2 linked regions of the Caenorhabditis elegans genome follow. The protein of the gene in region 1 interacts with the protein of each later gene in a pairwise test. Each region holds a gene or a part of one and is shown on either strand. Other genes may lie near its edges. The genes, in order: ceh-14 and ceh-63.

Region 1 (3,928 bases):
CTATGACTTCTGATATGACTTCTGATGATTTCAAGGTTGAGTATTATAAAAATATTTTGAATACTACTGAATCTGAAACTTTTTCATTAAACTCGATCAAAAACGTTTTGAGAACTTTCCGGAAAAATTCAAAAGTTTTTTTTTCACGGAATGCTTTCCTATTTTTAAGAAATTTAAGACCGTAATAAATAAAATTATCAACCTTATTGGAGCAAGTTTACGGTAACGCACTGAATAATTTTCAGATTAACTTTTTTTTTATTAGAGTGATACTCTGCAACCATATTTTTTGTAGTCATCTATTTTTAAAGAAAAATTTTAATCTGAAGTCAGAGAGCTGTGATATTATATTATAAAAGAAAATTGAACGTTTACTCAAAAAAACCTTTTAAATTTTTATTATTATCATTGAATGTTTGAAATCGTTCTCTAATTTTTTATTCTAAGATTTACCAAAAAGCTATCCCCTAGTTTCCAAGTTGAATTTAAATTCTATTCTTCTGGTTGAAAATGTTTTCGCACCAAATATTAAAAAAAAAAAAAACATAAGCTTTCAAAGACAATGTTTTGTTATCATACACTTCTCCGTTCTATTTCAAAATATGTGAGTAAGAAAGCTAAAAAGCCGCACTACGCATTTCTGTGATACCAAAAAAAGCTAAAACTACCATCTTACTTGTAAAAGTGTGCCCGGCAATACATAGAATCTTCGCGCAGGAAACATGTCGCACCAAGCTCGTCTTTACACGTAGAACATCGGAGGCATGATGAATGATAACATCTGAAAAGAATGAAACTTTGTCGAGAAAAAAATACTAGAGAAGAACAGTGAACCCACCTTCCGTTGACCTTTGAAACGAACCGATCTCTTATTTTCTTGTCACAAAGCGAACAAATGGCTTCTTCGTTATTCGGATGGCCTGCATTAACTGTAATAAATAATTCAACTTGTTTCATATAGCGGCGTGTCGGCTAGATACCCATTCTTGACACATATTCTTGACACATGCTTTATGCTTGACATTCTCCTTGTCTTGTCCATTTTCCCTTGCTACACACTAAACCTTATATATTCTGTCATAATATTGTTGACTCCTACTGTTTTTACTTAATTTGTGGCTAAACAGGTTGGAGGAACAAGAGAGAAAACAGGAGGAGGGATATAACGAACCTAACGGTAATTCAATGCTCATCGCCAGAAGCTTGCAGGTGTGCGTCCTCCCCATAAACTGCTAAAGGTACGGATGATGCGCGGAGGTGTGACCAACCATTAAAATATCAAATTTCCAGAAGAATGATGGTCCAGTATTAGCAAAAATATTATGCTATTTTTGTTGCTCAGAGACACAGAAAATACGAACACGAGGCCCGAAACGAGGTATCCGAGAACGCGCGAAAAGGTGTGATAGGTTTCGAAAAACGTTTCCAGTGTGTAATATTGAGTCACAATAGGCAAAAGGATGGTCAACTAAAAAAACGCGAGGAGAAGAAAGTGATAAGCGACAAAGGCCACTGCCGTTGGCTACTGTTATTGTAATATGAAGTATGAGAGAAAAATGGTGTAGTTGTCGGTAATGTTCAAAAGGACAGGAAGCGAAATGACAAGGATGGACTTTTTTCTTTTCTTTTTGTCGTATGACTTAAGAATATGGGGAATACGTTTTTGCTTATGATTCTGAAGTATGAAATGTTTTCACGAAATGGTGTTGAACTAATTTTCTAGATGTTTACTAAAAAGTCCCTTGTCCCGGTTTTAAGGGGTTTGTGATTAAAAAAACAAATTTGCAGCTCAACAGCTGGCATTCTCTGAAAAAATCAATTCTTCACACTATGCATTTTGATAAATACGAGCAATATATGGTACTTGTTTATTAGCTGTTACCCAATATGTTTTCAGTGTATAAAATTCTATGATGTCAACACGTAAATAACCATGATTGCTCCTGCGTCTAAAATACAAAAAGAAAACATTTTTAATTTTTGGAAAAATTGAAAACATTTCGGGGTACAGATACAAAAAATACCTATTTATTTTAATCGAGTATATCCGAAGAATATGTTTCCAAACCTACCATTACTAAAGTCTTCCTGCGGAGAAAGAAGCCCGGTGCTGCACATCACGATATGATTGTCCAGCTCATCGCACTCGCCAAGAGTCAAAATGTTGTGTCCCAGCATGTTTGTTGAAAAAGGCCTCTGAAAATAAACATAGCGAGTCGAATTCGGGATAGACGATTCTGACGATTTAGTTGAGGTGAATATTTAAGCGAAACCAAAGATATAATGTAATTTATTTTCTCTTTATTTTTGTTTATTATATGAAAACAAAAAAGAAAAAGAAAGAAAAAATTTGATTAGCTAAAAGTCTAATTTCAGAAAAAAAAAGTATTCATGAAAAAAAAACCGCACGCTAGCTTGAATAGCTAATGAACTTTTATAAAAAGCCTAGTCAAATGTTTCAGACTCATGATCAAACTCGTATGGAAAGTTAAGAAAAAATGTCGTTAGTCGGTTCTTGAGACTACGTGTATGTTATGCTCCACGAGCCATGAATGTCCCGAAAATAAAGTCCCGCCCATTTCTTGTCTCACGCCAATGAGCGGGTAAGAAGCCATGCTCTCTTGTGCATTTCTTAGCTCTGGGATACGATACATCTCCCGAAACAATGGATTCAAACCTAAAGTTCACTAATTGAATGTTGCTCAAATGACTTATCACATCTAAGCAAATGTTTTACAGAAACGGCCGCGAAAATAAGAAGATTGTTTTTATCATCGATAAATTCAGAAATCCTCTCAAATCCGCTCGTTCCTCGTGATTTTCGGAGCAATAGCATCTTTCCAAAAAACTTTGTTTATATTCTACTTTCAAAATGATTGAAAAAGTGCAAAATTTGAAAAAAGAAAGAAACATTTCAACTTAATTGATGTCAAAAGCAATTAAGAGAGGGTGTCCTAGTTTCATTAATATTGCGTGCTTTTTGAAATGAAATGAGAAAATGAAATGATCAGTTAGGTCAAGAAAAAATTAAATTGCGGCATGAACATGTTTTTGTGGATTATTGCATTATTAGAAACTATTGAACTTTTCATGAATGGGTTCCTTTTAAATGGTAAAAAAAATACTTTAATGAATAGAAAATTACAGTTGCTCATTTTAAATGAAAACAATTGTTGAATTTTCAGGAGTAGAGTTTCAGAATGAAATATCATCTTGGAAACAATAGAATTAACAGAAATTCAACTTGAGGAGCCTAACAGTAGTAAACATTGATCTTAAAATACAAAACAGTCGAAACTATGAATAAGTAAAATATAAACTATTTAGTAAAGTAACCCGATGATTGAATTTCATGGAAGTTTTAAAAATACAAAAATAGCTTCAAAATGTCTATTCAAAAATTATCGTCAAATATACGTATTACCGTATTAGTATTGTTTCTATTAAGCTTAAATCTTTACTGCTCTTATGTGGCAACTCATATCTTGAGTTTTGGATTCTATTCAAATTTGTTAAACTATTGGAATATCAAAAGCACACATATTTGGCACTTGTTCCGACTGAAAATGTTCCGACAAAGCAACAACTTTGAGCTTTCAATGTTCAACAATTGTGGTACAAGACTACTAGAAAAAGTTCTTATAAATTATTTTACTTAATAAATAACAAAAATAAACATGAAACAATGTAAGTTGGTAATGTTCCGGTTGATCATTTTTATAGCAATTTCTGTGTGAGTTTCTTTTTCACTACTTCTATCATTACAATAATATGTGATAGTATATTGCTTGTATTTGTCTAGACTAAATTATTATAGGTTCACGATCTGCAGACTGCTTTAGTACTTCTTTTTTGGAAATGTATGGTGCCTATCCCAAGCTTTAAGCCAACCTAAGAAAACATTGATAATTTGTCTGCTTAACAAAAG
Region 2 (3,928 bases), 3.9 Mb from region 1:
TTGTGGGTGCTCCGAGGACATGTGTGGTGGTGGTATTTGCCAATTCATATAACTTTCATGACTTTAAAAAAAGTTTGGAAGATGTCTGAATTTTATCAAAATCTGGAATTTTGATCACCAGAAGCATGCAATTTTCAGAAACTCGAAACATATTTTTTAAATTACGAGGGTGATTTTTCCAATAAAAAAATCTGCATGTTACCAATGGTAACTTACCATCATGAACATCCCCAGAGCTCCGATGTTGCTGCTCTTACTCGGCAATTCCCGGCAGCTTCTTCCCCAAGTTTGGGGCTTTCCAGCTTCTTACCCAACTCTTGCCAACTTCTAACCCAGAGTATGCCCAAGTCTTACCCAACTTCAACAATTCTAGTGTAAACTCCCTCGCCCGAGTTTTGCCCAAGTCTTAGCCAAGTCTTGCCAACTTTTTACCCAAGTTTGCAGATGTAAAGAACAAACAAGATTCCGAAATCCTGCATGCGCAATGTTTAGCGTAAATCGACACTTTGTCTTTTGAGTAATTTGTATTTAAAATAGAGGAATTTCGATGTAATTGAAAGAATTCACAGGAAAACTTGTCCCTTCAAAGTCAAATTCTAAATATTTTGCTCTGATGGCTAACATTGTTAAAAAATGTACGAACAAAGTTTGCCTTTTATTTCCTGTGACTGTCTAATAAACCGAATAATTTATCTAAAAATAAAAAGAAAAGTTATCTTCAGGATGATTCTTCTCCTAGTCAGTCCAATAGTCAAATAATAGTCAGTCAATCCAATGCATCAACTTTTGAATTTTTCTAAGACTAAAATGTTCCTTTGAAATGTAAACTTTTATAAAATTGAAAGACATGAAACAAACATGAATTACAGTAATTTTGTAAATTCTGTACTTAGAATCATTAGGGAGCACACTTGAAAACAAATGAAATAAGGTATGTGGGAATACCGTATTAATCCGATGTGTCTGATACTTCCTCAAAAATATCTATCAGAATATGAGTACGATATATTATTAGTGTGCATCTTTTCGCGCGACCATCATGGCTCAGCAGGTAAGACTTCGGAACAACAGGAAATGCGATCAAAGTTCAACACACACGTATAAATTGGGTAAGAAATAGGCAAAACTTGGGTAAGACTTGGGCGACGCCTCGAGACGACGAGGCAGTCCACGACTTTTTTTATTTATGAGGCGCCCAACTCTTGCCCAAGGTTTACCCAAGCCTTGGCAACTCCTTATAAATGTTTTTATTTTTTGGGCAAGGCTTGGGTAAGAAGTTGCGAAGCCTTGGGTAGGAAACTGGCGGCAAACGCCGAGTACTCATCGCAAACTCAATTATAAAATTCCCTGCTTAAAATCCATATTTAACAATTTCTAATTATGGTATTTCAAATAAAACATGTCTAGTTCAAAAGCCCGGTGGAACCTTTACATTAGACCCTTTCTCAATAAATTAGAAAAACTAATACAAGCTAACAAAAAATGATTTTCAGCGTTCTCTGGAGCCATTCAACATGGTCACTGAGGACGATGATGAGGACGACATCATTGATATCAAAGTCAAAGGAGAGCGTCCACGTCCGTGGTGGGAGACCGAATCAGCACCACCGGCTATTAAAAATCAAAAGTCTTCAATAATTGATTCAATCAGAAATAGTTGCGCAATTATGTAATTTTTCCTCTTTTTTTTAAATTTTCAGCTATTTTGGTCCATCTATTTGTATGTTTTCATCTCATGATCGTTGATCTCTGCATTGTGTCGTTCCTATTTTTTCTACACATTTTCTCCCCATTTTTCCCTTAAAAATTTATGTTTTCGTGAAATATCTCTCCCCAGAAACTGTTCAGACTGTTCACTATGTTATCAATAAACAGCTATTGATACTTCTTTTGAAACATGTTTTCAGGTACCTACCAACAATTTTTGATGAAATGAGTCATGAATCACAAGAAGCATTTTGTTCTGCAAATTGATAGGCTGGAAAAGAGAACAGAAGCCTACAATGAACAAATAGATATAATTGTTTGACGCTGGAATCTTTATTACCGGGTAGGGTAGGATCTGCTACAATTCTACAATTAACGACGTGTTTTCCAACGACGCTCCATGCTAATTGCACAGCTCTTTTCCATGTAATGTCCCATCCTGAAAAGTCATAAAGTCGTTTCCTTCAAATTAAACATCCAATTGCTCTGAGCTTTCATTGCCCCTGTTTTGCTCATTGTGTTGTTAGCATGACGTCTAAAACGGTAAGTTTGAAATAATATTATTTTTTTAACCTTCCCTTTGTCAGAATATGACGTCAAACAAATTTGCATATGACTTCTTTCCATGGTCAAATGACACCAATTCGGTAAGTATTTGATAATTTTTAAAAAGTAATCAATTTTCCAATTTAGTCCCAACAAATTAAGAACATCAAACCGCCACCGAAAAGGAGCAATCGACCGACTAAAAGAACAACTTTCACATCGGAGCAGGTGAAACATTAGAATAATTGACATTTCCAATTATTTTCCACTCAATTTAATATGTTAAGGTCACACTTTTGGAGTTGGAATTTGCAAAGAATGAATACATCTGCAAAGACCGACGCGGCGAGTTGGCTCAAACAATTGAACTCACTGAATGTCAAGTGAAGACCTGGTTTCAGAACCGGAGAACTAAAAAACGAAGGTTTATTTGATCAAAAAAATTTTTAAAAATAAACGTTTTTATTAGTAATGGTCGAAGCAAGTTTAAATGTTTTTTTTTTTAATTTTCATGTTAAAATTGTTGGTACATCCCAGTTTTGAAATTTATCCGCTAAAAAATTTTCACAGTAGAATTGATGAAAAAAAGGCGAAACCTATAATTTTTGCATTTTTCAAAATTTTGAACAGAAATTCGTTGACTGACATATCCTTTATTTTGAGAAAGCCTGAAAACCTATATTAGAAGTTGAATCTGAAACTCTACGTTCAACAAGCTTGCCTCACAACATAGGCTTAAAAACTTTAGCCTGAAATCTGAAGCTCTCTTTTGAGGCTTAGTTTTTAAGGTCAAATGTTAGATTTAATTGTGAGCCTTGCGTTTTTCAGCTTAGTTTTTTTAAAAGCTGTACCCTAGGCCCAATTGACAAATGTTTTTGCTCAATTTTCAGATTTCGTTTTAATTCTCAAATTTTAGATGTAAAATGAATTAATAAAATTGAAACAGTAACAATAAAAATGAAAGTACTCGTGAATTCCCAAAGAAACTAAAAAAATTGAAAAATATAAAACGTCCACGTTGACATTTTAAAAAATAAATGAGCAATAAGTGTTGTCAATTTACGTGCCCGTACCATATAAAATCTAAGTTATGTAAACATTCAATAATCAAACCCGTAAAATTTCAGATGTACATCTCCTCTTCGAAAAAGCATGATGAAGAAGTCTGACGAACGTTCTCCTTCGCCACAAAATCCATCGTCTCAGCATGTTCAGAATTTGCAAACGTTTTTCCATTCATGGCCCTCGCATTTTGCATATTCACTTCCTTCTGATCAACAGAACAATGTTTGATTTTTGCAGCTCTTTGTCTACTTTTTTATACTGAATTCTTCATGAAAAAAAACATACTTTATTTGAGCAAAATTATGAAATTCAATAAAATGTTCAGTTTTGATTCTTTCATTGTTCGTCTTTTTCGAATAACGTCATTACGTCAAAACTCAAATAGTCTTGAAGTCTTGCACGTTCGATGTTATCAAATTAAATTCAAATTCAATTTCAATTTCGTATCAGACAAAGAAACGCAAAGACCGACCAGTGGGTCATTGTAAACAGTGGGTCATTGTAAACATTTTGATGGCCATTTCTCACAGGCTTCTAGAAAACAGGTATATAATGAAAGTTGGTACGACAGTGCCGGGCAGATTCATCAATCGATCAGTAAATGTTGTTC

The links.
Region 2: the proteins of ceh-14 (region 1) and ceh-63 interact in a two-hybrid assay, tested with the Caenorhabditis elegans proteins (one study listed by BioGRID).

The regions. Positions count from the first base shown.
Region 1 is NC_003284.9:7,530,555-7,534,482, forward strand, and holds the start of ceh-14 (LIM/homeobox protein ceh-14), read right to left. Parts: upstream 2,179-3,928; coding exon 2,073-2,178; intron 1,308-2,072; exon of another isoform or gene 1,159-1,307; intron 930-1,158; coding exon 839-929; intron 782-838; coding exon 677-781; intron 1-676. UniProt on the Caenorhabditis elegans protein: Probable transcription factor, modulating expression of helix-loop-helix protein mbr-1 and homeobox protein ceh-63, perhaps acting in concert with ceh-63. Binds to a motif including the sequence 5'-CTAAT-3' in regulatory promoter elements.
Region 2 is NC_003284.9:3,671,996-3,675,923, reverse strand, and holds ceh-63 (Homeobox protein ceh-63), read left to right. Parts: upstream 1-1,865; 5' UTR 1,866-2,235; coding exon 2,236-2,250; intron 2,251-2,294; coding exon 2,295-2,354; intron 2,355-2,400; coding exon 2,401-2,481; intron 2,482-2,540; coding exon 2,541-2,677; intron 2,678-3,380; coding exon 3,381-3,546; 3' UTR 3,547-3,650; downstream 3,651-3,928. Other genes in the region: Putative protein tag-52, read left to right, coding at 1,494-1,673; BPTI/Kunitz inhibitor domain-containing protein C02F12.5, read left to right, coding at 3,920-3,928. UniProt on the Caenorhabditis elegans protein: Probable transcription factor, modulating expression of helix-loop-helix protein mbr-1, perhaps acting in concert with homeobox protein ceh-14. May play a minor role in axon guidance in the DVC interneuron.